Linked DNA regions of Nothobranchius furzeri. The protein of the gene in region 3 binds, or shares a complex with, the protein of the main gene of each other region. Links are inferred from orthologs where the notes say so. Each region holds a gene or a part of one and is shown on either strand. Other genes may lie near its edges.

Evidence for each region.
Region 1: the proteins of prkaa1 (region 3) and prkab1a are in contact, whole or in part, in a crystal structure (PDB 6C9H), measured with the Homo sapiens proteins. The link is inferred for Nothobranchius furzeri from reciprocal best matches to the Homo sapiens genes PRKAA1 and PRKAB1. Residues at the interface, in NP_006242.5 of Homo sapiens: Gly20, Val22, Lys23, Ile24, Thr32, Lys40, Lys42, Asn59, Arg60, Ile63, Arg64, Val69, Ile72, Arg73, Ile76, Gln77, Val93, Ser95, Thr96, Pro97, Ser98, Asp99, Ile100, Phe101, Met145, Met175, Ser176, Asp177, Gly178, Glu179; in NP_006244.2 of Homo sapiens: Pro79, Val81, Arg83, Leu103, Pro104, Thr106, Val113, Ile115, Asp159, Phe160, Glu161, Val162, Phe163, Ala165, Leu166, Met167, Val168, Asp169, Ser170, Gln171, Arg201, Ala202, Pro203, Pro204, Ile205, Leu206, Pro207, Pro208, His209, Leu210.
Region 2: the proteins of prkaa1 (region 3) and prkab2 are in contact, whole or in part, in a crystal structure (PDB 4RER), measured with the Homo sapiens proteins. The link is inferred for Nothobranchius furzeri from reciprocal best matches to the Homo sapiens genes PRKAA1 and PRKAB2. Residues at the interface, in NP_006242.5 of Homo sapiens: Gly20, Val22, Lys40, Lys42, Asn59, Arg60, Gln61, Lys62, Val69, Arg73, Val93, Ile94, Ser95, Thr96, Pro97, Ser98, Asp99, Ile100, Met145, Met175, Ser176, Asp177, Gly178, Glu179, Phe180, Arg199, Leu200, Ala202, Pro204, Glu205; in NP_005390.1 of Homo sapiens: Val80, Arg82, Ser84, Ser108, His109, Asp111, Ile115, Ser138, Asp159, Phe160, Glu161, Val162, Ala165, Leu166, Ser182, Ser184, Gly190, Gln191, Glu192, Met193, Tyr194, Ala195, Phe196, Glu199, Arg201, Lys203, Ser204, Pro205, Pro206, Ile207.

The regions. Positions count from the first base shown.
Region 1 is NC_091746.1:43,137,175-43,146,696, reverse strand, and holds the end of prkab1a (5'-AMP-activated protein kinase subunit beta-1a), read left to right. Parts: intron 1-676; 5' UTR 677-709; coding exon 710-859; intron 860-2,931; coding exon 2,932-3,101; intron 3,102-4,021; coding exon 4,022-4,115; intron 4,116-4,827; coding exon 4,828-4,942; intron 4,943-5,220; coding exon 5,221-5,354; intron 5,355-5,516; coding exon 5,517-5,585; intron 5,586-7,197; coding exon 7,198-7,275; 3' UTR 7,276-7,409; downstream 7,410-9,522. UniProt on the Homo sapiens protein: Non-catalytic subunit of AMP-activated protein kinase (AMPK), an energy sensor protein kinase that plays a key role in regulating cellular energy metabolism.
Region 2 is NC_091751.1:56,437,306-56,448,386, forward strand, and holds the start of prkab2 (5'-AMP-activated protein kinase subunit beta-2), read left to right. Parts: upstream 1-6,035; 5' UTR 6,036-6,154; intron 6,155-6,214; exon of another isoform or gene 6,215-6,377; intron 6,378-7,355; 5' UTR 7,356-7,379; coding exon 7,380-7,538; intron 7,539-7,639; coding exon 7,640-7,797; intron 7,798-8,141; coding exon 8,142-8,235; intron 8,236-11,081. Other genes in the region: mitochondrial adenyl nucleotide antiporter SLC25A24, read left to right, coding at 1-51, 739-897, 975-1,127, 1,227-1,334, 1,412-1,579, 1,665-1,815, 3,555-3,736. UniProt on the Homo sapiens protein: Non-catalytic subunit of AMP-activated protein kinase (AMPK), an energy sensor protein kinase that plays a key role in regulating cellular energy metabolism.
Region 3 is NC_091746.1:66,862,551-66,872,862, forward strand, and holds the end of prkaa1 (5'-AMP-activated protein kinase catalytic subunit alpha-1), read right to left. Parts: intron 9,466-10,312; coding exon 9,372-9,465; intron 9,230-9,371; coding exon 9,085-9,229; intron 5,937-9,084; coding exon 5,849-5,936; intron 5,761-5,848; coding exon 5,536-5,760; intron 5,451-5,535; coding exon 4,931-5,450; intron 4,808-4,930; coding exon 4,681-4,807; intron 3,338-4,680; coding exon 3,060-3,337; 3' UTR 692-3,059; downstream 1-691. UniProt on the Homo sapiens protein: Catalytic subunit of AMP-activated protein kinase (AMPK), an energy sensor protein kinase that plays a key role in regulating cellular energy metabolism.

The DNA.
Region 1 (9,522 bases), about 24 Mb from region 3:
CTGTTGCAGCTGATTAATGTTGTGCAGAAATATTATTTTTATATCCTTCGCATATTCTAAACAATGAGCCTTTGTGATCTCTCCTTATTGCAAACAGGCACAATATGGGTCACCTGGAGGTGATTTCACTGTTCAGCTATAGACTCACATTCAGCGTTTATTTCTAAGGTGTTGACACTGTTTGATTAGGTTTAATGTCATTTTCAATCTGTGTGTAACAGTTTTCCCCATTAGAAGCATCCCATAGTAATCCATTAATGTTTATGACCTGTAGATCACGTGACAGACAGTGACTAAGCATTATCATACGTAGAATAAACTAGATAATCCCAGTGTCATGGTTCCCAGGCAGGTTTTATAGCCATTATCATGGTGCTTCCTGGAAATGGCATGCTGGGAGGTATATTATGTGAGGATCAGGTTGAATCTAACAAAACATTTTAGTTGAACTCTTCAAAATATGAATTTCTGTCCCGAAACACCCTGCAACTTTCCAGTTTCTGTTTATATGTGTTATTTTATGAGCATGTATAGTATAAACAAGTATATGCTATTTAAAAATATAGTCTGTAATATTATAGCTGAGTCTTTCCTCCCCAACTCTCACCAGCAGCTATCAATGATTTATTCATTGTTGAAGTATGTTTTCTGAGTTTCTGATTTGGTTCACTTGCAGTGACCTTGTGACATCCTACAAGAAAACAAAACCATGGGAAACACGAGCAGCGAGAGAGCTGCCATAGGTCATGGAGAGAAGGCTCAGCGGAGGGACAGCCGAGGGATCAAAGAAGGAGAAAGGCCAAAGATCCTAATGGATAGCCCAGAGGATGCAGATATCTTTCATGGAGAAGATATGAAGGTATTTATTCTGTCTCATGGGGAGATGCTGGTTACGCTATACTTGTTTTTGAAACACAACTCTTAACAAAATACAAGAAAATGATTCATATTTATATAATTATCTTGCCCTAAAAGACGGAGTTAACTGAGAAACCATTTTTGTTTTAATACGATTGGTCACTCTGAGTTTAAAAAGCAGGCTAAATGTGAAAATAGTCTACCGTTATTTCCTGCATTAGCTGTAGATAGAAAAAAATAATGGGTGAAACTCAGATTAGAAAAGCTAGTGACATTTGCACGAGACAATGTCAAGTTTGCATGGACTCACCCATTTTGGCTTGCAATGGGGAAGGCTGTTGTTGATTTAACATCCAGATTTGAAATCCTACGAAGTCCAAGGAAGATCCCGCCTTTCTCACTTCTGATTAGCTAGAAAGGCTCTATTATGATTGGCTATTTCATTTAGCACCAAACAGTCTGTCCTCGCTAAGTGCAGACTGTCCTGCCACCAGCAGAAAGCTGTTTTGGGGAGTTTCGTAAAGAAATTGTGAACTTAGCGCTATAATAACCATTCTGTCCTGTTTTGCAAAATATTTTATGTTTTATGTTTCATAAAAAACTGAAAAAAAAGTGAATTTATAATCTTGTTGCATTTATCAAACTGTTTGATTTACTTTATATCTCTTGGCTCTCAAGCATTAGAGTACATAGGATAAACATATGTGCCTTACCTGGGTACAAAATTTAATAAAACTGCCCTATTCTGCCCAGCTGTGTGCATCAGGTCTGTTTCTTTTCTAGAATAATGAAAACTGGTTAAAAGTAGGTCTAAATCAGCTTTAAATTAAATGTTGTGTCCTTGGGCAAGACACTTAACCCCCTTGCCTGCTGGTTGTGGTCGGAGGGACCGGTGGCACCTGTGTATGGCAACCTCACCTCTGTCAGTGCACCCCAAGGCAGCTGTAGCTGCATAGTAGCTCATCCCCACCAGAGTGTGAATATGTGTGTGAATGGGTGAATGACTGATTGTGTTGTAAAGCGCCTTGGGGTGTTCCAGGACTCTAGAAGGTGCTATATCAAATACAGGCCATTTACCATAAATGATACACTTTTAATCTGATGATGAGAGATGTGCTCTAACTTGTAAACAGCCTTAACCTATTAAAGTGAAGACATAGGACAACCTAATAATTAAGTAATAAAATAACCCCAATAGAGCTAATCAGTCTACAGTGTGATGCAACAAGATTTATTATGTAACTTGATGGAAGTGGTTACTTTTACTGAATGATCAATAAGATGTGATATTCCATATAAATATGAATTATCAACCTTATTGGTCTTTGAATATTTGATTTAATATGAACTTGGGTTCTTTGGACTGCCAGGGAAACACACACTTCATAATAATAATTCAGAGTCAAACATATAGTCTATAAAAATGAATTTAATACTTTATTTTTAAACTAATGACACATTTTGACATTTTTCAGGTTATTTTATGAAAGAAACTGAAACTGGTTTGTGCAAAACAGGAAAGGATGTTTATTATAGCGATAAGGTCACATTTTCTTCAGAAAACTCCTCAAGATCAGGCTGTAAACGTAAAAACCCTGCAGCGAGGGAAATCTGTTTCCTCTTACATGAAATAGCCTATCGTAGGAGTGCCCTTCCAGCCAATCAGAGGTGAGAAAGGCGGGACTTTCCTTGGACATCCTGGGATTTCAAATGACGCACCATGTCTTGGCTAGTAGAAGCTAACTGTTAGCATTAGCGACTCCACAACACAGCAGAACTCCTTCAGACTTGTTTTATTTGTTCAAATAAAACATCAACGTTGGAAACCAAACAGAGTCTGTGATTGAAAGTCGTGTTGGTGTTAGCCAATCAGATGTGAAATGTCCAAATATCAGGAAATAAGACTCCAAATCCTGCCATCTTCTACTCACCTCTCATCTGGCTCAATTCTACTTCCTGAAACAGCTTTTTTCCTACAGTGATCGACTCACGAGGCATTGATTTAAACTAGAGACCACTGAAAAATATGTTGGGAAAAAAGCTATTAAATTTGGTCTTCAATGTGTGTTCCAGGCTCCATTAGAGAAGGAGGAGTTCCTCGCGTGGCAGCAAGACTTAGAGGCAGAAGACAAAGGACCGACACTAGATCGACCAACAGTGTTTCGCTGGACTGGAGATGGAAAGGAGGTCTATATCTCTGGATCCTTCAACAACTGGGCCAACAAGATTCCCCTTATACGAAGGTGGAGACATTCATATATGTTTCTAATAAGAGAACAGGCTTATTCTGGAAAATGTGATAAAGAAGTCCAGTTATTTTTGATCCAGCCTTAAGTTTAGACTCACACGTCAAAACCATCTCCCGCTCTTGTTTCTTTCAACTGAGAAACATTTCAAAAGTCCGTAAACTGGTTTCTACTGCAGATCTGGAAAAAAATCATCCATGCCTTTGTGTCATCACGCTTAGACTACTGTAACGCTCTTTTTACTGGTCTCAGCAAAACCTCCCTCTCATGCCTTCAAGCCATCCAAAATGCAGCAGCCAGACTCCTAACCAAATCCAGCAGACGCGCTCACATCGCTCCAGTTTTACAGTCCCTCCACTGGCTCCCGGTAGAATATAGAATACAGTTTAAAGTTTTAGTCCTGACCTATAGAGCTCTTAACAACCAGGCTCCAAGCTACCTATCTGAGCTTTTATCCCCACACACCACCTCAAGGAACCTCCGATCCACATCTGAAAACCTCCTGGCTGTTCCTCGAACCAGACTGAAAACCAAAGGGGACAGGGCCTTTCAGACTATTGCACCCAGACTTTGGAACAGTCTACCTTCAAATCTTCATCTCTCTAACATTGTACAGGTCTTTAAAAATCATCTAAAAACTCACCTTTTCATCCAGGCATTCCCTCCCTAAATGTTCTAAAAGATGGCTTTGTTTGGGTTCACACCTTCACTTTGTTTATACTCATTATTTTATTTTCTACTTTATCACTGCTATTGTTTTTCTGATGTTTTTATTGGTTAGAGGTATTTGCCCTGATCTTTATCATGTTGTACAGCGCTTTGTGATTTATATCTGAGAAAGGCGCTATATAAATAAACTTTTACTTACTTACTTACAGTCTAAACTGACTTTTGGTCCTCTTTGTAATCTGTCAAAGTCAGAACACCTTTGCAGCCATCGTTGATCTACCTGAAGGGGAGCATCAGTATAAGTTTTATGTGGATGGCCAGTGGACACATGACCCTGCTGAGGTAAGCAACAGCATCTTAAAATGTTCCACCTTAAATAGACGTTATTTCACAAATCCTAAGCTGGAAATTGTCTTCTCCGCAAAGGAGACTCGGCCTCTAAAGCTAAACACATTACAGATCTGCTACCACCCTGAAAACTCTGGAGAGCTAACAGCTTCTTTTCACTGTTGCATCACTCAGTGATTAGCTGTAGTTTTGTTTTGCATAACCTGAAATGTTATTGCACTTAGCATTTCTGGTGCAATCATACTTTTCAAGGACAGAGCCTGTTTTTATTACACTGTGATGTAAACACATTATCATATGTTCTAACCTTGAACAATGTTCTAGAGAGTGGAACATTTATGCTTTAGGGAGACATGTTCAGGTACTTGCTTTTTATTTTACCAGGTAAAATGTTTGAGAAGAAAAACATGACATGGCTAAGATGTCGATCTCAGCGGTAGCACCAAAAATTTTTACATCTGGACCTTTAAAAACAAAGAAAAATGATGACATCAATAAAAACACAAAACCTTTACATTGTGTCTTTGTCCAGAATCTTTGACCTGCATCAGGCTTGCTTTGGAACAATGTTTTACATTGGCACCACGTGAGGGTGTATTTGACGCTCCTACTTCATGGTTATAGTCCAGAATGCATAAATGAGGAAGTTAGTGTCTCGTCTGTTTCTAGGTGAGCTTTAGGAACCTGATTGTGTTATGTTTTACAGCCTGTCATCACCAGCAACCTCGGCACAGTCAACAACGTCATCCAGGTGAAGAAAACAGACTTTGAGGTGTTTGATGCTCTAATGGTGGATTCACAGAAATCCTCTGACCTCTCAGGTGAGCGCCGGTGAAGGCTTGCTTTCCTTTTTGTCACCCCCCACAGAATCCAGATTGAGAAAATGTAAAACTCTGTCAAACAAATTTGATTCATGTTCAAATGTACATTTTATCTAAATACAGTTAAACTTGCCATAGATAAGGTCTGCCCTGTTGGCCTCTTGGTATAAACATGTAAGAAAATGTCGAATTATGGGAATTAACAAAAGAAAAACACCTAGATTTACAGAAAGCATTTTAAATTAGGGTTTTTCTTTGTCTCTGTTCTCCTTTTTCAGACCTTTCTAGCTCTCCCCCTGGGCCATATCACCAGGACGCTTATGTTCCTAAACAAGACGAGAAGTCCAAGTCTCCACCCATCCTCCCTCCTCACCTCCTCCAGGTCATCCTGAACAAGGACACTGGGATTTCAGTGAGTGTTTGAGATATTTCTGCTGTAAATTCTCCGTTCTTATTGTTTTCACCTTCTGGTGCATTATTTATTTAGATAAATAACAGCATCTTACTGTAATTAGAAATCATTTTTCTGCACAAATCTGATTGCTGTTTTGTTATATTTATGTCTTGCTTTCAGTGTGATCCTGCTTTACTCCCAGAGCCAAACCACGTCATGCTCAACCATCTCTACGCTCTTTCCATCAAGGTACAGTTTCTAGTTTACCAAAAGTGTGACGATTCTGAGGTCCTTTCATCAGCCAGCATTGTGAGAAATGACCAGCTTTGTTGGATTTTTCCTAGAAGGTGCGTGCCGTTACCGTGGATAGTAAACTAGCTCAGAGCCCATAAAGCACGAGGGAGAAATGCCAGCGATGATAACAAACGGCCAAAAATGACTGAAGGACAAATAAATGCACTTGTTGCAGCGTTCTGACCGGAAAAACAAACTGATCTCACATGCCGGAATATAAATAAAGACAGAAGTTCCAGACTAAATGGAAAAAATGGGTAGATCAAACGAGCAGAGTTTACACTGCAGGGCCCAGACCCAGACTCTGATTAGATAGTCGTTTTCTAATCTTTTTCCTTTAAGTTTACCTGAGGTGATGAGTTTGAATGTTACGATGAACGATTGTAACAAATACATCAGAAAGTGTCAAATATTTAAAGATGCGTGCAGTTTTATTAATACATTACTGAAACTATTTTTAAAGTAACACTAAACAGCTTCCTGCTCCTCTGCCCTACTGGTGAAAAACAGTCGTGCAGCAGCCTGCTGTAGTTAGTGCTAACAACGAGCTAACACTAACATGAGCCTACTAATGATAACATAAACCACAAATTAAAAAGATCAACACTGTTGGACAAAAAGTATTATTACTTACAAGTTCAGTAGCAACAAAGCCAGGTCACCATCAGCCTATGGTTTCAGGGCCTCCTTCAGCTTCCTCAAAGTAATGTAGGCCACACCGATGTTCACTCTGGTTTTAGCTCTTTGCTTCATCCCCAAAGACATTACTCTCTGACTGTATTTCCAGGCTCCACCATGATGCCAACAAAAAAAGCAAACTTTTTTTTCTTTTTCTTGTGTTTTTTTATTGCTGGTCGGCGAACTGAAAAAACTAACTGCTAGCCTTTCATTAGCTAGCGACAGAGAAAATAGCTAACAGCCATTAAGTAGGTAAAGAGCGCCCCCTAGGACACCTGCCACTCTACACAACTGTTAAGTGTTGTTTCTGGCCAGCAGAGGGCTGCAAAGTGCTGTCCCAGGTCAAGTTGGTAAAGTTTCTACTTACACTAACTCCACTTTAAAAGGAACTGATTCAAGTGTTATTCTTAAGTGTGGCATTAAATAAATCAAATTTGCAGATATGATTATAAGTTATATAAATTTTATCTAATTAGACACATTTTAACTGCTGAAATCTGAAATGAATAGTGGATGGGTTCATAGCTGTCAGACTGAAACAGGCTCAACAGACACTTCATGAAAAGAATGAGAAAATGAAACAATGAGGTTTGGAGTGTTTTAGGATAAGAGCCAAGTGTTTGCTTGTGACAGCCCTGGGAAATGTCAGGAAATTGGGGTTTTGGGGACTTCCCTTTGAAAATAACATGTGTCATACTGTGATTAACTGCAAAGCAGAACTATTCTTTTGGTTTTCTTTACTACATCCTACTGGGTTGATTTCCCGAATGAAAGGAGGAGAGCCAATGTACTATCAGCAGAAATCTCATGAGAACAAAAAGCATATAGTTTCAAACAGAGAATTTTGACTTTAACTTTTAAATTCTTTGTTGTTTTTATTCCTCCACAGGATGGAGTGATGGTGCTTAGTGCGACTCATCGCTATAAGAAGAAGTACGTCACAACTCTACTGTATAAGCCCATCTGATTGCAGGACTGTATGTTGCATTCCAGCCTTGTGTGCTATTCTAACAGTGAAAAATATTACCTCTGTTTTTTTTTTTTTTTTTTTGCCCTGAAATAGAAAGATTGTAGGGTCAAACCCTTACTGGTTTCTCTGTCAATATATTAAAAAAAAAAAAAAAAAAAAACATCTGGCTTTTAAGTTAATTTCTATACGAATATTCAGAGCTGGTACTCAATTATCTCCTAACAAATATCACTAAGGTGAGACATAAAGTATGAATAGAAAAATTCCAATAGAGTTAATATAATTAACTTTTAATTATATTTAAGTTAATATATTTGGGGGGGGGGGGGTTGTTGTCATTTAACATTTGAGCAGTGGTTTCCCTTTATAAAAACTTATTAAAGGTCAGATGTAAAACATGTTGCACTTAAAACAAAGTCAAACGAGCACAGCCATGGTTGGAGGCTTTTGAACGACAAAGGGTTTTCTGTGTTTCTGCAAGAAAACTAAAAGTATGACCCAGTGTATCAGAAAACATGACAATAACATTTATTGAGTAAAATTATTAGATGTGTGTGAGAAGTTCAACTGTGAACTTGGATTAGCAGTTAGTGCTGAAATTTTCATTGAGGGTTAACAGTCAGATTTGAACGATTTCTGGGCCTTAGCATTTTTTTTTTACTTGTTGCTAATTGTGCTAAAACATGAGCAGCTGATGTCTGCATCAATGCCATCTTATGGTGGAACACTTGAACTTTGGAACAAATTCCCAAATAATCCTTCGAGCACACATCATTTCTCAGAAGTAAGCCGTTAGGACAGGCAAGTAATTGGCCTGATCACAAATCTGTTTTGTAGAAACACAGAAAATTCTATATTGGCCTAATTTTCAAGCACCACTGTTTAAATCAATCTGATATTTTATTGAGTACATTTTGTATTTGCAGTTATTCTACATAGTAGGATAGTAAACATGCTCAGCTCACCTGTTTATTATATTATTTTGGTAGTTTATAGTGACAAAAATAGTTTTATATGACACTAAAATGTTTGTAATGAAACAAACTATAATCGTTAGTAAGATAACTGAATAACCTCGTTAAAAGAGAGGTCTCTGACATTTTTATCCGACAAAAGCACTTTGTGCACTGCTGTGGTTCTCTGTCTCTTTGCCTGTTTATGTTCACTTTTATTAAAGTTATTTGTGGCCAGAGCAGGTTTATTTTTTGAAGTAGGCAGTGATTTATCTTTTTTTATTGGGTTATTTTCTGTGTGAAAGTTAGTTTCCATGAAGTTTGGTGAAAACCGTTCCAGTCCAGACATGAGAAAATGCTTGTTAGTTTTATTTCATCTATGATTTTCTGCACTTAAACAATAACCTTGTATCAGAGGAGGTTTTCTAGATGTAATAGTGCACTGATGACACAAAGTATACCCTTTAATTCGTTTTGATCTTGTTCAATAAGCTCACATGGGATAGTTGAATAGTTTACTGCATGAGTTGGTCTTCAGCAGCTCATCAGGTGATGTTTTCTGTGTTCATGATGGATTTCAGTTAGGAAAAAGATCAAAAACATGAAGTAAAAACACTGATTAGAGGAGGATCAGGGTAGAGTTTGATGCTACTTTTCATTACTTTTAAGTGTGTAGTTTTGCTTATTTTTGATCCTTTTAAAGGCTTTGCTATTTTAACTTATTACGTCTATTTAACTAATATTGATATATGACTTACATTAACGGGTACATTTTGTAGAACCAAATGAAGACGTGATTGTAATTATTCTTACTCGGTTTTGGCCAGTAGATGCTGACATTTAATTTATGTTATTTATGCTTTTTTTAGTTTTAATGTTGTCATATTTTAAACTGAATCAGATTTGATTCTATTACAAAAGGTCACATTATACGTTTGGGGTTCAGAATTTCTTTTTCTGCCTTTTAAAGACACACTCCTGAACTTTGCAGATATGAACTCTCTGTCGCCCCCTCAAGGCTTGATGCGTAACGTTACTGTCACAAAGTAAAATCTCTGTCATGCATAACAGGTATGTTTTGCTGGCGGTTTTCTAACTCTCGTGCCCAAACACATCAAGCGGCTTTTCAGTTCGTAAATCATCAGTAGCAATCAGTAATGTTCAGCGATAAGGTACAGTATTAAGATATTAATAGTATCAATTTATCGGAATGATTGGGTAATGCAATTATGGCAAAAACGTGCTGTGTACATAACAGTAAAAATCACGCAGTAACAAGCATGTCCATGAA
Region 2 (11,081 bases), on a different chromosome or scaffold from region 3:
TACCCTGCCTTCAACCTGGAAGAAATCATTCGCTACTGGAAACACTCCTTAGTAAGGCTCAGAAACACTCTTATGGGCAGTGGAACCATCCCATGCCCTGTCCTCCTCATGCGTCAGATATGATAGATTTTCTCTGCAGCAGCTTAAACTAAACAAGATAATCAGGTCACAGAAGTACACGTTGTTTCTCTCACCTCTTATGGCTAGTTATGGCATCCAGCTCCATACTATCAGAGCAAAGACAGTTTTTTTTTACCTCCCTCCCTCTCAGGAACTGTTTTGCTTTAGGAAAAACATCAGATCTGTTGATCTGAAACAGCTAAAGAGTGCAAGGTGAGGGTTCAGAGAGCTCAGTGGTTTCACAGGAAGTCCTAACCAGAGGGGAACGAGTTCAAATCATAAAGCAGATGTGTTTTAGCTGTTACATTTAGATTTTTATGTGTATTTATAATGAGTACCTTTGATAAAGTGTTGTCGTGTATCATCTTTCTGGTTGTTGAAGGTCATGTAAATGTTGTCTGGCATGACTATGCACGAGCAGCTACTGAACTGTGAAAACAGCAAGCAGAAGTAGTTGACTATGTAACTCTTATCTTTATGTGGGGAAGCCTGAATCATTCAGATCAGTAAATATTTGGCAGGAACAGACTGATACTTTGTAGTTCTAACAGGAATATTTATGCTAATGTGTGGGAATTCTGTTAACTCTGCGTGAAGTCCTGCTTGTTTAATCTCTAGGTGCTGGATATAGGAGACAGTCTTTCCATCCCGGACGAATTCACAGAGGAGGAGAAGAGCTCGGATGTCTGGTGGAAGCAGCTCGTTGCAGGTGCAGCAGCAGGCGCCGTCTCCCGCACTGGCACCGCCCCCCTGGACAGACTCAAGGTCTTCATGCAGGTGAAGACGTGAAGGTTACACAGCGATAGGTACAGTGTGAAACAATGTGGCTAAGCTTCTGTGTGTTTACGTCACAGGTTCATTCATCCAAAACCCACAGGATCAATCTGATTGGAGGCTTCAGGCAGATGATCATGGAGGGTGGTCTGATGTCACTGTGGAGAGGAAATGGAATCAATGTTTTAAAGATCGCGCCTGAGACGGCCATCAAATTCATGGCTTATGAACAAGTCCGAAGCTTTAAATCAAACTTTTTCCTACATATGATTGTAGATACTGTTCTATAAGACAGTTAGCGGCTGTATGTACAGATGTTCTATCTTTTACAGTATAAGAAGCTGCTGTCATCAGAGGGAAAGAAGATTGAGACACATAAGAGGTTTATCGCCGGCTCTATGGCTGGAGCCACAGCACAGACGGCCATCTACCCAATGGAGGTAGGAATCCACCTGTCGCCTCCTGGGATGAGAGAAAAGTGAAAAGGGGTCATTTTTTTGTGCTTCTTGTCTTTCAGGTGCTAAAAACTCGCCTGACCTTGAGGAAAACTGGCCAATATGCAGGAATGTTTGACTGTGCAAAGAAGATCCTGAGGAAGGAGGGAGCCATTGCTTTCTATAAGGGCTACGTTCCAAACTTAATTGGCATTATTCCCTACGCTGGTATAGACCTCGCTGTTTATGAGGTACGAGACGAAGGAAGCCTCCTCCGGTGTTGCTTTTTTCATTTGCTGTTTTAGATCCAGAATGAAACCTTTTCGTTGCTCTTAGACTCTAAAGAACACCTGGTTGTCGTATCACGCCAAAGACTCGGCTAACCCTGGAGTTCTGGTGTTGCTGGGTTGTGGGACCATCTCCAGTACTTGTGGCCAGCTGGCCAGCTATCCTCTCGCACTCGTACGCACACGGATGCAGGCGCAAGGTAAACGCAGACGGACATTTACACTACAGCTAAAACTATCCTTCTACAGTTTCCTGTTAGCATGTAGCTAAAAGGTTTTATTTGACCTGGATGTTAAATCTCATTAATTAGACTGATTCCTTGAAGGATAAATGAGCCCTTTAGCTTAAAAAATTTACTTTTCAGCCATGATTTTAAAGCTTTTTCTTCGCGAGCTACTTCCATCCAGCTCCATTATGTTTTATTTTACTGTTTGGTATTTTCAGTTCATGTTACCATTTGAAATAAATATTTTAATCATGCTTTTGTTACATTTAGCTTCACATTCAAACTCATTTCTGTCATTTAAATATAAAAATTTTAATCATGAATCTTATTAACCATTTATCCAGTGTTTAAATCAAAACTAAAAGTTTATCTGCTTCTTTCTTCCAGTTATTTATTAGTTATTTTTTATAACACTTAACAATAAGGGTCCCTTTATTAATGTTACTCAGTGCATTATTAAGCATTAATAAACAAAGAGTCCCTTTGTAGCCACCACAGCTACGCTGGGGTCACACACACACACACACACACACACACACACACACACACACACACACACACACACACACACACACACACACACACACACACACACACACACACACACACACAGACTTCCGGCTGCTCCTCACTCAATCCTCGTAGCTCATCGGCGTTCCAGGATCTCACCGGTCCAGTCGAGTTCACGTGGATGAAGACGCCTCCTCCACGTCTGCCACCTGTATATGTAAAGGAGGCCATCTGATTTTTGATGCACCTCAGCTGTGGTTGTGCACGTTCTCGCTGTCATGTTTGTTCTCTGCTGCCCCACAGACCTGCACGTCCCAGCGCACCGCCACACCCTTTATAAACGTTCCTGGTATTGTTAACTATTACCTGTCCTCAAGGTTAGGACAACGGGTTGGGGTGGGTCTTCTTAGCATCGCATTACATAATATGGTTAAGCAATGTTAATACATTATCTAATAGTTTATTAATGCTTAATAATGCACTAAGTAGCATTAATAAAGGGACCCTTATTGTAAAGTGTTTCCCCTTTTTTTTTTGCATATCTATTTATTTTAGGGACAGCAGTAGCTCAAGAGGTAGAGCGGGTTGTCCAGTAATGCAAAGGTTGTAGGTTAAATCGCAGCTGCCACCAGAAAATGCTGTTGTTGTGTCCTTGGGCAAGAAACTTAAACCGCCTTGCCTGCTGCTGGTGGTTGGATGGGCCGGTGGTGCTAGTGCTCGACAGTCTTGCTTGCACCAGTGCGCCCCAGGGCATCATCATCACCAGCATGTGCGGAAGCGCCTTGGGGGGGTTGTAGAACCCTAAGAAGGCCCTATAAAAAACAGGCCATTTCCCATTTTGACCTTCTTCTGAGAAGAGTGCTTTTATTATCATCCTATAAAAAAAACAAGTTATAAATTATCTTCTTAGTTGCTTGTTTCAGTCATTTTGTATGTGTGTGAATTAGTCCCTATTTTTGATTTTCTGGTTACAAATCACTGGAATAAAACTCAAAATAGGTTCTTCATTAAGTCAAACTTCTGTTTATATCTGAGTAGAAACTAAAACAAGACTTAAGACATAATTGCGCCAGAGATCCCATCATCAAAAAGTATTATAAACTTGTTTAGTACACTTTCCGATCTGCACAGTGTGTCAGTATTAGAACATGAAGCACAGACATGCGGGCTGCACATGTAACTGAGTGTTTTTGTTCCTGCAGCGTCTCTGGATGTGTCAGACCAGCCCTCCATGAGCTCCTTGTTGAGGACAATCGTAGCCAAAGATGGCTTCTTTGGGCTCTATCGTGGCATCCTGCCAAACTTCATGAAAGTCATCCCTGCTGTCAGCATCAGTTATGTGGTTTATGAGTACATGAAGACTGGCTTAGGAATCTCAAAATAAGCGTGAACAAAAAGAGGATCATTTAGTGTTTTATCAGACTTGGAAAAAAGCCTGCAAATAAAAAAAATTCCAAAACGACAGACGGACATCCAACGTAAAGAGCATGACTTCATCGGACGGAAGGCTGTATGGTTTTTTTAGAGCTGCCTGCCAGTAGTGTTTTAATCAGTTGTGGTGTGCATGCTTCTTTTATTATCCTAAAGTTGCACATAACACACTCTCTACTTTTACACTTTGTCCCAAACAATAGATGACACACACACACACACACACACACACACTTCTGAGGCTACATAATAGTAAAAAAACACAACATTATATATTTAGTTTCAATGTTTTCCAGGTAATGACTGTGACAGGAAAAGTTTGTCTTAACGGAAAACTATTTTCTGTGTGGAAAATAGTCACCTGCCACATTTGTGTCAGAATGAGAAAATCAACACTGTCTGAGTTTGCACACGTCTAAACACTGGAGACAGGATTTTACACTTTTTAGTTTTAAAACGACTTGTTTTACAGGACTGCAAATGTTCAGGTGGTAGCTGCTGGTTTTAAAAACAACACATTTTTCTAACGGTGGAACAATGCCTGTGTGTGTGTGTGTGTGTGTGTGTGTGTGTGTGTGTGTGTGTGTGTGTGTGTGTGTGTGTGTGTGTGTGTGTGTGTGTGTGTGTGTGTGTGTGGGTGTGTGTGTGTGTGTGTGTGTGTGCGCACGCACACGTGTGGGTGTGTGGGTGCGTGTGTGTGTGCAAAGACATGCATGTTGTGCAATGTGAAAATAACTCACCCCATATTCTTTGTGATCATTTAATTGTGCCTTACAGCCTCTTGATGCAAATCTCTGCGATGAGTTTTTTAGCTGCATATACTGTTTTAATGTACTGTACGTTTTCAGTTAAGCTTATTTATTGGACTGACTGATTAAAAACTGTTATAACAGGTCCGACTGAAAATACCTGCAAAGACCACATTCTTGTCACGTGTCTCTTCTTTGAAACAGATGATTTAAAATGGGATTTTTACTATTTAAAGAGGACAGTGAGTGGTTTCTCTTTACATTTCTGATCAGCAGTTTGAATGAGACCCAAGCTGTTTTTATTCAGAGTTAATATTATTTATGTTTTCTGAAATCTGATGTAGACAAATGACTTTATATGCATGTTTGAAATCACTAATGTCTTTAATAATAAGCATGGATTTGTTGAGTTGAGAAGTTGCTGTTGTTAAGTTAACTGCGGGAGAAAAAGGTGAGGAGTCGAACGAAGCAAAACTAGTTATTAATGTGTTTACAGAAAGGAAACCCAATAGAAACGTAGGCAGCTAATTTTGCATTTGGAGGTTCTGGTGACTTCTTGCTTATAAGTGGTAATTTCTGTTTTTTTACAGTGACTGTTCATTGGTGTAACAGGTTTTCTACTTGTCTCATGGATAAATAAAAAAACTCAAGATATTCTGATATTTTACCTTATTATCTGCATGAGCGCTTAATGAAATTTAACTTAAGTATAGCTTAATGAATTGCAACTTGAGGAGGAGACCAATTTAATGCTGTTTTTTTTTTTTTTTTTAGTATTTATTCTTATGGAGAGTGTCAAACATTGGTTGTAAGAATAAAAGGTCTGCAAAGTTTTTAAGCCAAAAATCAACACTGCCTGGTCTTTTTTGTCCCTTCTTTGTTCTCATCGGTATGGACCTTATTTGCACGATGTTTGCTCCATGTGATCAGCTCAAACTAAACAATCAGCTGGCTTACCCTCCACCATTTTCACCTGAAATAATCAATGGAAATAGTGCATAATTTCTGTTTTTATTTCTCAGGATCTTGAAAAATTTTAGTGTTATGATACTGAGATGTTAAAATAGTTATTAATGTTAACTAAAGTTTAAAAGTGCCCATTTAAAGCAACAAAGCATTAAATTAATATAATCAGCTTATAACATCTGAAAAATGTCTTGGGCAACGCAATGTATTTTGTTAAATATTCTAAAGCATTGGCGCTACTAGTTAAAATAAAGCTACTTTTAAACTTCATTGTGAATAATGTGATTTTTTTTTCAGAATGGAATTTGTTTACTTTGTTTCTTGCCTCCAAACGTAAACTACATTGATTCTAATACTTCAATTTCTATTTTTCCTCTGTGTGCGTTCTATAATTTTTTCATACAACAATGAAAAAGTTTAATTTTCGTTGAAAGAGGAAAACAAACGTATTTATTTAGATATTACAAAGGTAACAACCCCTCAAATGTAACTGACGTCACGTCTCTTCCCGTTCCTGATTGGCTAAAATCACTTTTTGGCCTCTGCGCTCGCCGTACTCGGAGCCCCGCTGTGCTGCTGTTGTGAAAAGTGGAGGACGCGGACAGGTCTTCGGTTTGAAGACAAACTGCTGTCCTGAGGAGCGGCAGCTGGTGCTTGTGAGTGTCTCCTTTGTAGCTACACGGGAAACCAAAAGCGTTTCTATTTAGCTGCATAATTTGTGTCGTTAGCAGTCATTATTAAAGCAGACAAGTCGTTTTTGTTTGTTTGTTAGTAGTGGCTGCTGGTAGCTAGCTAAGTTGAACTGCGAGCAGCATCTAAAAATATTCACCCTGGCTGAGCTGAGGTGGACAGGAACAGCCTGACGTCCAGCGGGCAGTGGTGGGTTACGTTGACTTTATGATACGGCACATGTGGTTTCACCTGTTGCTCATGAAGCTAGAAAAGCTTTTTAAAGCCGTTAAGCCTTTGGGCTAAACCACACAGCTCACCGTTGTCATACGCAGCAGTGATGCACGCACAGTTCCAGTCATTTTAACACATCAGTTACTGTGTTTTTGCAGCAGTAACACTGGACTGTGGACAGCTGTTTGCTGTCATCACGTTCTGATACAAACTGGGTCTCTTCATGACACCTTGATCTCCTGATTGTGATCCTGTTGTCTGTTTAGATGTCTTCAGCAATGGTTTGGGTCAGCTGATCAGGCATGGGACTTGGGTTAGTGGTCAAATACAAATATTTAACATTTTTATCTAATATGGGATTTTAAATAGACTTCTAATTGGACTGATTTATATATTTGTAAAGTGTAAAATCATAAACTAAAACTTTTTTGTGTCTTTGTAGTATCTTGATTCACATGTGTTGTGTTAACAACAGCGTTATACATTTGCAGGGTCTCTAGTGTAATGTAAGGTGCAGTTCTGGGAAACATTGGTGGAGTTTCTTTGCTGGCTGGTTCTAGTCTATTTACTGTATTACAATTTTATCTTGCAAATTAAAACGAGAAATTTAAAAGCCATTTATTTACCTCAAATAAATGGTAAATGGCCTGTATTTGATATAGCGCCTTCTAGAGCCCTGGAACCCCCCAAGGCGCTTTACAACACAACCAGTCATTCACCCATTCACACACACATTCACACACTGGTGGGGATGAGCTACGATGTAGCCACAGCTGCCCTGGGGCGCACTGACAGTAACAGACAAATAACTTCTTTTTAAGTTCCCTTGACAAAAGGCAAATTTCTTACTAACAAAATTTTAGTTGCATTTTAAGCTGTGGTTGTTAGTGTCTAAACGGCTGGAGTTTTGTAAAATTGGATGTTCATAGCAAAACAATTCTCCTGACCTTGCAGTGGGAAGTCAGGCTGTGAGGCATCATGGGAAACACCAGTGACAGAGTATCTGCTGATCGCCATGGAGCGAAGGCCCAACGCTCCGACAGCAGTGGGAGTCACAAGGACCAAGAGACCAGCAGCAAGTTGGTGGACAGCACAGATGACCCTAACATCTTCAATACCCATGGACCTGAGTCAAAGGTAACCCTCCGGCAATTCCGACTAGGGTGCAGAATCGTTTCTTTGCTCTGTGTGATCAGTTTTCTGAATATCTATTGATGTTGCACGTTTGCTGCTTCTAGACATCAGGAGAAAAAGAATTCACCCCAGATCTCGACGACTTGGTTAAAACTGGTCCTCAGGCTCGACCCACTGTAATCCGCTGGGCTGGAGGGGGAAAAGAAGTCTACATAGCCGGTTCTTTCAATAACTGGAGCACAAAGATTCCACTAAATAAAAGGTAAACAAATTATTTTGTAATTCTATCTCACTAGGAGCTAGCTCAGGGGTGGACAACACTGGCCCTTCAGGGCCACTATCCAGCATGTTTTAGCTATTTCTCTGCTCCAACTCACTTTGTTTAATGGTTGTGTCACCTGCTCAGTGGCTTATTTAGCTTGTTAATCACCTGCTGATCAAAATCTGTAGTGTTGAAGCAGGGAAACGACTAAAACATGCTGGATGGCAGCTCTCGAGGACCGGGGTTTTCCCCCTCTGAGCAAGCTGCAGGAGTAGAGATCACTTAAATGTTTTTATTCAGTTTAGATTATCTGGTGTTGCACTTAAACTCTTTTCTTTTTGAAGTCACAATGACTTTGTAGCCATTCTGGACCTGCCTGAAGGAGAGCACCAGTACAAGTTTTTTGTAGATGGACAGTGGCTCCATGATCCATCCGAGGTACAGCAGACCCACCTTTGCTCTGCTTGTTTTTCTTATCATTCACCATATTCTCAGTGCCTCCTAAATTAGTCTAAATGTCTCAGAACAGTCAGTGTGTTTACATGCACATCAGAAAACCAAACTGTTGCCCTAAGTAGACTGACGTGATTTTTTAAAATCACGTAAACATGTTCGTCTTGCTGAAGGTGAACTGGTTGTTATCGTAACCAGATAATGCGGTAGAACACAACTGCATCTGCATGTAAACGGCTCCGCCAAGCTGATACTGGTAACTGCTGAATGTGACGAGTCTGCAGAAGTGGTCTTCTGACATTATCACCACAAAGTAACAAGAACCAGCCGTCTGGACTTTGCGCAGCTGAACCGAAGTAGTAACTGGATCTCTTTGACTTTGACACCGCTCGTCTTTGGAGATTAACGGATGCTCCGCTTATTCTGACGAGCAACGTTAACAGAAACACAAACTAATGACATTAGCAGCTGCCCGCTCCAATTGCACAAAAACGTTTTGTGAAATTATTGTAACAAGACTGTTACCGCGGGTTACAACAGAACTACGCACCACACCGGCGTTATCACTTTCATACACATTTATTTCACAGGACTGATCTGCAGCACAGTTCATCCCACTGCTGCCTCCGCTCGGTCGGTCGGTTATTCCCCAGCCGGCTCCTTGTTCCTGCAGCCGTGCATAATTATATAATAATATACATACGTCATTAGATGGCTATAACTTGTTTGTGTCTGCACATGTGGAGCAGATATTTTGTTGTTTTATCCCATCATGAGACTTTGTCTGCCACGATGTGGGCTGTTTATCCACTAGAATTGCCTGTTACCACAGCCTTCAGCCTATTTTATCCGCTGGAAACCTGTAAAATGTAACTTTACTGTCTTTCTTTCATCTATTTGTGCAGCCTAGAGCTCTACATGTGTTAACCATGCTGATAGATTTTATTTTGCTGTTGTTTAGCTCTGTTTATTGACAACTGACAGCTAAACACAACAGGGGTCAACATGGATGTGCTGGCTTCTTGCTTTCTAGCCAGAAGCTGGGTGGGGGGTGGGGGGGGGGCGCGCACGTGACGTCACACTTCAATATCATTGCCCCTGATCGTCGTACCCCTGATTAGTCATCAAGACAAACCTGAAGAATTTGGGTGTTGTTTTTGACCAATCAATGTTTCTTGATGGCCACTCAAAAACATTGGTCCGAAACTGTTTGATCACATAAATATCTCCAAACTGCGAAGGTTGGTGTCAAAACATGAACTTGAAATGATTCTCCATGCCTTTATCTCCTCCTGTCTAGATTACTGTAACACACTCTTCACATGTTTTAACAAAAAAGCCCTTGACGGCCTTCAGTTGGTCTAGAACTCTGCAGCGAGGCTCCCAACTGGAGCAAACAGAAGAGCACACATCACTCCTATTCTAATGTCTCTGCACTGGTTACCCGTTAACTTTAGAGTTCATTTTAGAATCGTGACTATAACTCTCAGGGCTCTACATGGTCAAGCTCCTCCCTATATTACTGAACTGTTAAAGCCTTATGCTCCAACCCGAGCCCTCAGGTCCACACACCAGAACCTTCTAGAAGTTCCAAAGACCAGATATAAAAGTTAGGTGATTACTCCTTCCAGACTGTTGCACCCTGACTTTGGAGTGATTTTCCTTTATCCTTATGCAGCATTGACAGTCTGGACACTTTTAAAAAAACAGCTAAAGACCCTTTTATTTAAAGCTGCTTTTACCTAAATCTTTTATTTTCTTATTTTTAACTCAAATTTGTAATCTTCTTCCATTTATTTTACTTAATTTTTTCTGATGTTAATCTATTTCTGTTTTGAGATCATTGTTTTGTTTTGATCTATGTGAAGCACTTTGTGATTCTATGCCTGTCATAAGTGCTATATAAATAAAATTGACTTACAAAATTTACTTCAACGGGTCTGTAAGCTAACCTGAAGAATGCCATCGTGAAAGAGCACATGTCACCACCTACTGCACCGGAGTGGAACGAACTTCATTTGAGAGATCCGTTTTCTAACGTACATGTAAACTAGAATGAATGTATTAGATCAACTTAGGCCTAGTCCACACGTAGCCGGGTTTTTTTAAAAACGAATATCCGCCCCTCCAAAAACTTGAATCCACACCATCTCATTTAAAAAAAAAAACTCTGTCCACACGTACCCGGATAAATACGTTGTTAAGGACATGCCAGACCTGTAGGCGGCAGTACTTCCCCCGTTCTTAACCTCGTCCTTCGTCTGTGGTCTTCCGCAAGGAGCAGTAATTCCGCTTGCAAAAACAAACAAGCAAAAAGTGCTTGGACAATTGATAAAGCGAGCGCAGCTCTGAGGGCTTCCATGCTGTCGGCTAGTGTAAACACAGGTCGCACACGTGATGTCAGCATTTTTTTGTCGCGGAAAATGGCGTTGCAGACCTTAAAACTCTGGTTTTGTCTGTCCACACGCAGACACCCAAAACGGAGAAAACGCAGATCTTCACTTTGGCCGGAGTTATTAAAAAGATCCGTTTTCGTGTGAAAAAACTCCGTTTTCATGTGGATGACAGGCCAAAACGTAGAAAAATATCTACGTTTTGGCAGAACCCCGGCTACGTGTGGACAGGGCCTTAGATGCACGTGTAAACACACTGAGTGATTATGAGAGCATGTGGTGAAGACGAGATCAGTTCCACTATTGTGATTCATAAATAATTCAGTAAAATAAAACTGAGTGGTAATAAAGGCCAAACTGTTTAGATCAGCCCATTTACAGTGGCACAGGAGTTAAGTGCTTGCCCCGTAATTGGAAGATTGCAGGTTCGAGCCCCGC
Region 3 (10,312 bases):
AGCTTTGGAAGCCTAGCAGCTAACGACTGCGTTCGCTCTACGAAGCTGCGCTTACCTTTGCTTGGCATGTTTATAATATGCATAAAACCAACAAACAACTGGAGAAATTGTATGTAAGCAACTATGTCCGTGACTAAAAATACGTACGTTTGTTGATGGTTGAACCTAGTAACGAACCATATTTTACGACCTTTGATGGAGCGTTCAATTTACGTCAGTAAACCCAAACATTCATTTTACATAATTACTTTTTCTCCCGAGGGTTTAACATTGTAACTCTCTTAAATAGTAAGTTTAAGCGAATTTATTAAAATCATGTTTTGTAAAGAGACTACACCTATAAATGTGCACGAGTATTACAAATTTCGCTTTTATTTTTTGTCTTGCAGTTGTATTTGAAGGCAGCATAACCCGGAAGCCATAATTGTGTTTACTTCATTTTGAACACTCCACCAAACTCATGAACTATGAAAAAAAATGAGTATGCATTATGGAAAATGATAAAAATTAATTAGAAAAAAGATCCTATAAAAATGTATGTAAAAAAACTAGTATGAAAATGTGCAAATGTAATAAAACTACTTTTTACACTGACTTTCAAGTGTTATTCTGCTCAAAAATAACACTAATACAATTTTGCATTACTAATAAATCAAAATGTAATCATGAAAAAGATTCAAAGACAGCAGTGTGCAATTTATTAGCATTTATTAGGCAGTTGCGTATACAAATGATTCAACACTTTCATTCAGATTTACACTGATCAATCCGATAGGGTCCATTCTCACTCCAAACAAAAATAGAGCTTTTTTAAAACTATATGAAGCTGTTCTATCAGACACTGAACCGAACAGCCTTTTAGGACACTTCATTTTCTAAAAGCTGGCAAAAATTTGTATTTTTTGCACACATTCACCTGTTTTCAACAAAACCCATCATATAAGGCATGGCAAGTTTTGGTCAATGCTTGCAACTGCCCTCTAAAACTAACGTGAGTGTTAAAATTTTACAACGCGTCTGCAAGACCATAAAGTTTTCGTCTTCAAATGGATTCTTTTTTTATTAACTCTGGCTTAAAACTGAGATAAAGACAAACTAAACATTTTTGCCATACCTGCCATACAGTACAAGAAAATATGATCACAATTATCGTCACTCTTAGCAATTTTTGAAGGAGAATCATTAAATATCTAAAAATGTGTAGATACATTCATCCTGGATTTCAAAGATCTGTAGAGCCGAAACTGGAAAAATCCAAACGCTGACAAGTTTTAAACAAATATCTAACTTTTAGGAATTTTTTTTGGTAGAAATGAGAACTTCTCCAAAAAAATAAGTTACTTTAATTTACAAAATTAGAAATCAATTTTACATCTACTTCAGTTTTTCTTAAATTCCAACCATCATCTTTACAGGCAGAGATGAATTACAGCTATTTTGGCAACATGATCCCATGTGTAGATTATGCAGTAAAATCCAAAACATCTCTAGAATATCGGACTTAACTTGGTGAGCTGAGGCTGAAAATATAAAATATGAACTTCAACCTTTAAAATTGCAGAGGTTACCAATAATTCAGGCCAGCAAAGGGCTCAAACCTGACATAAAAACTGATAAACAGTACGAATAATAAGGCAGCCAAATGGACACCAGTGAAAACCTTTAAGACTAGACAGGAAATGGAACAAGATCATACATATCCAAGACTCTTACCTTGCAAATTCTTTTACTTATTTTGTTCTGTGCCACACGTTTACTAGCTCGCTTTTATTCTTCATCTTTCTCACCATTTACAGTACCAGCAATGATCTGGTTCAGGTTTAAACAAACGATGTGCAACCTTTAAAGGAATGTGTGAGCGAAACATAAATGATGTTGACGGACGCCGTTGACGCACTGCATTTAATTGCTGCTCGTTTAAAATTGAGCACAGAGGCCTGAACACACGTGACTGATTGGCATTTCATCAAATGAATGTAAGCAAAAGACATCCCATCCAGTAATCATACTCCATAATCCAAAAGAAAAGAAAAAAATCATAATCAACTTGTCACTGTAATAAACTGATAATGATATATTTCTAGACGTTGACCGTCGTTGCAAAACACCTTCTAAAAAGCAGACTAGTTCTCTAGAAAGACAATCAAGTATCTGAATAATTGTGATTGAGGGAAACAAAGGTGTGACACTGAATTAAAAACAGCTAAAAATGAGTATATATTTAAACATCCAGCATTAGAGCGTAATGAAAGAAAAAACAAGTCATTGGAACCAAAACTCCATCCACTTAATGCATTGATAAATATTTTCAGGTATTTATTTATAAAAAAAAATATAAGTCGGAGCTGGACAATCGGTCACAACGAGGACAGAACCATGAACATTTAGTCTTTGACATTTAACAAAATAAAACCCAACATGGAGCATTCTTAAGTCCCTGACACGTACCAGAACCACAGAGGCCACTGCACTAATGTGATGTGATGGGAATGAAACGCTGCGGCGCTCTGGGACGTCGGCACCGCTTCTCTGATCCCTACTGAGGAAAAAAGGTAATAAAAAATAACAAAGCAGCAGAAAATTACAGAAACTTGTGCAAAAGTGCTTCCTGCATCCTATGAACATCACTCAATCCTCAAACTGTGGCTCCGCCCCCTCCCCGCAGCAGGTAAAAAATAAAAAAAGTGATCTTGTTCTCTGTACTGAAAAGCAGGCCTTGCAGGCTACAGCACAGAACGTTCAGTGTAATCACTTCTGCGTAATTTGTAAGTTGGGATGTTGATATCTGCTTTTAAACAGATTGAGAAATTTAAAGACCTCCCCCTCCCCGAAATGTTGTTTCCTGCTCTAGCTAGCTGGGTAGCGTAATCTCAACAACTCCTAGAGACCCAGTCAGCTCTGTATGTTTCCCCTCTGCACAGAGAACACCAACCTGCATGAGCGCCACGGAACAATCACCTCATCCTCAGTTGGGATGAAGTAAGCCATGAATCTGTTCCATGCTTATTGCTATAAAGACACTCAGAGAAGAAAAGGCTAGCGATGATTGTTTTTGCAAGCTATCGTGCAAGTAGTTTAATAAGATTCGCGCACATTTCAAAGAACTCGATGGTGTGGCTTCCTGGTCGAGGGGTGTTCTCCCCTCCCCCCGTCGAGTCGATGGACGAGGTCGAGGATGACCCTAAGGACCCTTCGGCGGTCTTGGTGGGCTGCACAGTGCTAGACGTGGCTGAAACGTCCGCCCCATCGACATCGTTCTTAGTGGTGGTGCGGTAGTTGCTCACAGAGCCAGAGCGGAGCGGGGTAGCAGTTCCAGACTTTGTCTCCACCATTTCATCTAAATAAAAAAGAAAAACTTTTTTTTTTTTAATGTATCCAAAAACAGCTCAATCGAGACCAAACAAAGGTAACATTTGAAAGCCCGCATGGTAAAAGCTGTGTGTACAGAAAACACATCAAACTTCCCAAAGGCCAATTTAGTGAACCCTTTCTTGCTCACTGTCTCGAGTGAAAACATAAATCTAACAAGTCGTGTTTGACTTTGATGACGTAAGTCTAGTTTTACCTCAACAACCTTTATACAGCACGCCTGTCCCACATAAAACACTCCGAACATTTCCCTTTCAGGTCCGTTCAAACAGCACAGACTTCCAAAGCCTTGAGCTGCACGTCAATCATTTATGAAATCTTTAGCAAGGCTCCAAACTACAGATCAGCACTGCGGACACGCAGGGAGCCACGCTTCAGCGTCAGCGTTAGACAGCTTGTTGTTTGTTTGTTGGGGAATTCCTAAAAAAAAAATCTGACAATTAAAAAAACAAAAGTTTTGTAATAAAAACATTTTGATTCCCCTCCAGAGCTTTATACTTAGAAGTTGGGTTTCTTCTTGTAAATACACGAGTCAGACATTTTTGCCTTTTTTTCTTGCACAAGTCAAATATTTAACAATCACAGTTAACGTTTTTTCACTTTCTGATTTTTCACACTTTTCTTGCAAATGTCTAAAACAAAAATGAGGAAATGAAGAAAATACCTCCCAAAAAATGTGACGTTCCTGTTTGAAATAAAACATTTTCACATTGGGATTACACACTTTTAACCCCCCCCCCCCCAGCTAAATGAATAATATTTATAATCTGCAGCAGCCTAGTGCATGTAGGAGTCATATGTCTGGACAGCAGTCCCTCTCTAAAGGACACCGGGTCTTGGTGGGTTAATGAGTGAAGAAAAGCATCTCTGTGTTAAAGCTCAACACAACAAAAGGTTATTTAGTTCTAATTAGTTACTAGCTTTTAAATAAATGTACTCTATGGTTTCAAATTCAGCTATCTTAACTATTTTCACTGCAAACAGCATGATTGACGTTTTTGTATCAACACAAAGCGTGTCAGAAATTCTGGCTGTTGCCATAACAACCAGGAGGACAACTGCTGTCCTCGTCTTTTCTCACATTAAATATATTGTTCAACATTGAATTTGACCACAAATCCAACTTCTCTGACACGCAGTCTCGACTGTATTTCCTCATCATTTTTGTTTTGTTTGGAAAACCGACTCTCCTCCAGACTGTGCTGTTATACATTCCAACGAGTGTTGTTTATTTTTTTTCACTATCACACCATCAGCTGATAGGATGACAGTTCAGCGTGCGGCCGCTCGGAGCAGCGTGGGAAAACTTACCATCTATGCTACGAAAGTCAAGGAGGTAGGTTCTACTGTCCACCTGGTACAGTTGAAGGCTCATCTTGGTTTGCATTCCAGTAACGGGATTCTTCCTCCTCACGCGCAAATAATACGGGTTCACCACCTGGAAAAGTTTGAATGAAAAGAGGAATTGTATTTTTTTCATGCGACTCGGGTAAAAACAGCTTTTTGAACATATTTAACAATATTCCAGAGTTGTTTTCCTCCTAAAGACTTTGCCGTTTACCTTCCACTCATAATCCAGCTGCTTCATGGCCCGACACACTTCCGTCATGATATCATTGGGCCTGCTCTGACTGCGGATCCCCAGGTGCCACTTAGCCCTCCTGACACCCTGGTGCTTGGACTTCTGGGGGTTCAGTTCATCCAGTGTGTGGCGAGGCCTGGGAGGAGTCTCTGCCAGCAGAAAGGGCACGCGCTCCGGATGGGGTTTGGCGATGCCGGCCACGGCCGCGCCGGATGATGTCAGGTGCTGGTCGTCTAGGAAGGAGTCGGGCGGGCTCGACGCCAGGTAAAAATCCTTGGCTTCGCTCATGATGCGGCGATTGTCGATGATGAGATGGTAGGCGACGGCTAATGGATCCTGGTGGTTGCGGCTGTATAAGCAGGTGAGGACCTCCTCCTCTGTGCACTCGAACTTCTCACAAACTTCCTTTAGGGCCTCGTCGTCAATCATGTTGTTGCTATAGGACGGGTCCTCGGGGAACAAGTACTTGGGTAGGTCCTGTTTAAACCACTCATCCTCTCTGTGGGGAAAAAATGCGGCGTGAATAAAAACCACGGATCATCGTTTATCTGTGTCAAATTAGTAAACGTTCTCATTGGGCTTACCGGATCTCTTTAATAGTGGCTCTTTTCATTGGGTCCACTTGCAGCATGTGCTTTAGGAGGCTAACTACTTGAGGGTTCAGGTACTGCGGGGTGAAAAAGATCCCGTCGCAGATCTTTTTAAAAAGTGTTGGCACGTGATCATCGTCGAACGGGAGCGTCCCACACAGCAGAGCGTAGAGGATGACACCGCTACTCCATATATCCACCTCCGGACCAGCGTATAACCTGAACACGAGCACAAATACGCCACTGTAAAAAACACAACGTTCGACTCTTCTGTGTTTGTGTTCACAATAATAAAAGATGGCATTACCTTCCTGAGATGACCTCCGGAGCAGCGTAGTTTGGAGAACCACAACTTGTTCTCAGGAACTCTCCGTCTGACATCATGTTTGACAGACCTGCACAGCAGTTTGCACCATCATGGCAGGGCAATTCTACCGGATACTTCTAAAATGTAATAATCTATTAAAGGGACTTTTTTCCTTACATTATAATAGTTCAATGGTCAATATAAAACATGTTAAGATTTTTAATTGATTATTACTGATATTTCAGTACCTTCCAGAATGAGCCATTTCAGGACTCTGTCATTTAAAGAAAAACAAGCTGGGGGGGGGGGGGGGGGGGTAGGCCCACCCATCCACCGGCTGCTATAAGCTGAGATGTAGGGCTGAATGATTTTGAAAAATAATCTAATTGCGATTTTTTTCCTTTAATATTGCAATTGCGATTTAAAGCTTCTTTCCGGAGTATTTCTCGTATCCGATGGCACCATCTAGTGGCTGACAAACATCACACACAAAAACTCTGTTGCATCGGTTTGTTGAAGATGGCGACTTCACGTTTCTGTTTATAAATGTGCTTCTGTAGCCGACAAACAGAGCTAAAACACTGTTGTAATACTGTTTTACGAGTATTATTCTCAAAAGTATTGGAATTTTAAACAAAGTCAAAGGTTTTCTAGAAATTTCAACGCTTCAGACATTACATTACTCATTTATCTTACCATACTTAACTTATTGTATTGAGGTTTGGGGCAATACGTATAAAACAAACACTAATCCTTTGTTTCTGTTACAGAAGAAAGTTTTGCGAATTCTATATAAAGCAAATCCAAGAGAACATACTAACAAATATTTTGTTCTATCTAAAATTATGAAATTCAAAGACTTGGTTAACTTGAAAATTTTACTAATTATGTTTAAGGCTAGAAATAATTTGCTGCCAACTAATCTACAAAGGTCCTTTGTTTTGATCCCAAAAAATGATAAGAGTAGAAAGAAACCAGAGTATAAAGGATATTTGTTCGTACTACATTAAAGCAAATGTGTATTTCAATATATGGAGTGAAATTATGGAATAACCTGGATGATGAATTAAAAAAATGTACAGCTACTGATCAATTCAAAAAAATGTATAAAGATAAAATGCTAAAATCGTATGATTTGGTGAGTTGAGGATGGAGGATCAATGTTTTAGTAGTGATATTATTTGTGGAAGTAAGAGAGCGGTTTATTTTTTGTGTACAAGGCTATTTTGTACTTTTTGTTATTTATCTTGTCTTAGTTAAAGGGGGTAGGTCATATAAGATTTTTTCTTCTTCCTCCCCCTATTTCACTCGAATGCTTATATTCTGATTTGAAGTTTGTATATTTAAACTTTGAGTGAAATAAATTATTGAATTGAAATGAATTGAAGTCATGTTGTGTTTTCATATATTTATATGTTAGAGACTTACTTGTCCGTGAAAAGTTCATCAAACCTGCATCAGCCGAGTCATTTCTTAAATTTGAAGCAAGTAAGCGATAGTCTAACGTTATTGGTTAGTTCTGGTCGGCGTTCAGTTTCCTATTGCACGGAGTTCTGTGGGGCAGGAGGCGTGCTTAGCAAAAAATAAATAAAAATGACGTATTGCTTACATTACATGATAAGATAATCACTTTTACGGATTTCTGACATGACATATACATAATTTCTGAAAGGGGAAAACTCCGGAAAGCAGCTTCAATTCACGATTATTTTCTCAAGGGGCTTTACTCATAATTTTCAACTAACAGAAGAAAAAAAAAACTGCAACTAGTACTGAATATAAACAAGTATATATAGCTACATATCTTATCAATAAGATTATTTGTCTACATATACATAAACACTCACAAGTAAAGACAATTTTTGTACTTGAAAGTGCAAAGCTGATTTAGTGTGTCTACCTGTGTACCCCTCTGGGACAAACGGACAAGATTAAAATCTACACAAAACCCTTTAGGGATGGGTACCGAATTCGGTACTTTTTAAGGTACCGACCAAATTCCATAGTACCGACCGAGCACCGATTCACGTCATTTGAAACGGTGCCTCGTTTCGGTACTCGTCCTTCATAACGAGAACTTGCCAAGACAGCTGCGCATGTGCAAGAGCGTTATGTCGGTCGCTGCGAGCGAGTTGTAAACAGAGCAGCATGGGTAGAAAGAACGCACGCTAAAGCTTGGGTCCACTTCACTAAATGTGATGGGTAACTGGGTGATGATGAAACCAGCGACAACGATCTAAGTGAGACATCCTCATCTTAATCTGCTCCGGTAGGTAAATATAATTAGCTTGATATGTTAGCTTCCGTTTCGCTAATGGTGCGTTCGCTTTCTCCTCGGAACTGCAAATTTCCGACTAGAAGAACATGAACGCGCTCTAAAGTTTGGCTTCACTTTACTAAATGCAACGGGTGATTGGGTGAAGATGAAACCAGTGACAACGATCTAAGCGTGAGGCATCATCGTTTTAATCTGCTCCAGCAGTTAAATAAACTGTTTAAGATAACGTTAGCTTGATATGTTAGCTTCCATTGCCACCGTTGTTATCAGCTAATGGTTTGTTCGCTTTCTTCTCTGAAATTCTAACTTTCCAGTAGGAAAAATCAAATGAAAAAGGACAGCAAAAGGAATGAAGATACACAGTAAATTTAGTTCACAGTAAAGATGTTTGCTTCAGTTTAATTATCAGCTTATAAAACTACAAGGACGATGTTAAAGTACAAACAGTTGTATGTTATTTATCATGATATTTATCAAATATGGTTATATATTGAGGAAAATATATATTTAATTATAAAAGAGAATTAAAATATTAAACACTCAAAAGTATCGAAAATTGGTACCGTTAAGTACCGGTATCGATTCCTAGGTACAGGGAATTAGTACCGAATCGATTCAAATGTCAAAGGTACCCATCCCTACAACCCTTCCAAAGCCTTTGTTGAGATTTTCCCATCTGGATTAAAATCCATTCACACCAGCAATAGTTTTCTCCTTCCTTGAGTTTGCGGACATATTTCTGGCATAGCTACAGCCAGCAACTGCTAACTAAAAAGGTGTTATAACGCCTCATCTCAAGTGCGTAATAATGCTCTCAAACTCACACACAGAAGACATACTGGAATCTTCCCATAACCACAGAATGCTTGTTGTACAACCAGAAACCACGGAGTTTACCTTTGTGATCAGGAGCCAGCTCCACCTGCTCACGCTCCCTGGTTTATTTCTCAAAACTCACCAAAATCTGCAATTTTTGCATTCATGTGTGCGTCGAGCAGCACGTTCTCGGGCTTGAGGTCTCTGTGTACCACCATGTGCCTGTGGCAGTAGTCTACAGCTGAAATGATCTGCTGGAACAGTCGACGGCTCTCCTTTTCTTGCAGCTGTTGCAGCAGAAACGACACATTAGGTGTGATTTTACCTGTGACTAAGCAGCAGTCAGGACACCGCTGAGACTATCAATACACGCAAGCACGCGCACGCACACACACCTCTAAGGACAGCTACAGTATTGGCGAGTATTACCTTTCCATTCTTGCAGATGTAATCGAAGAGCTCTCCTCCGGAGACATACTCCATGACCATGAAGATATCAGTAGGGGTACTAATAACTTGATATCTGCAGTAATAAAAATACAGGTAAAATAAAACAGCAGAGGAATACAATACATTTAAAACAGGTCAAATTGCAAACACTTATTATTGAGCCTGATGACTTGCATCTGCACGACTCACCAAAATAGGCACATAACACCGTGATTTACGGCATGTCAGATAAATAAAAGAGAAAGGCCCAAATAAGTAACTCCCTGTTTGTTGTTGCTTTATTTTTATAACTTGCTACCAGTAGAACATTTGGCTTTTCTACACTGACTGATCAGTCACCTGTAGTTAAAACTGGGCGGGGCATGTCAACAAGCTGTTGGCATGATGCAAAACGTTGTTATTTTAGCCCAGATGAGGGCTCTGCCCCGCAGAGCAAAACATTTAGTCACTTTCCACTTTCTGAGGTCTGAATGTAAATGAAGAGGAAATGACAGTGCTGCATTAACAAAGGTACAGCGGAAAATATTCAGACCCCCGTCAATTATTGCAGCCATTTGCTAAAATAAATGAAATTTCTTTTTCTCTCATTCATGTACACACTGGACCCCACACTGACAGAAAAGCACATACATTTTAGAAATTTATGCAGATTTATTTTAAAAATGACAAACTGATGTATTTCATGGTCCTAACTATTCACATCCTATGCTGTGACACTCATATTTCACTCAGGTGCTTTCCATGTCTTCTGATCATTCTTGAGATGGACCTACACCTTCATTTTAGTCCAGCTGTGTTTGATTATACTGATAGCAGCCTTGCCTGCTGGTGGTGGTCGGAGGGACCGGTGGCGCCTGTGCTCGGCAGCCTCGACTCTGTCAGTGCGCCCCAGTGCAGCTGTGGCTACATCGTAGCTCATC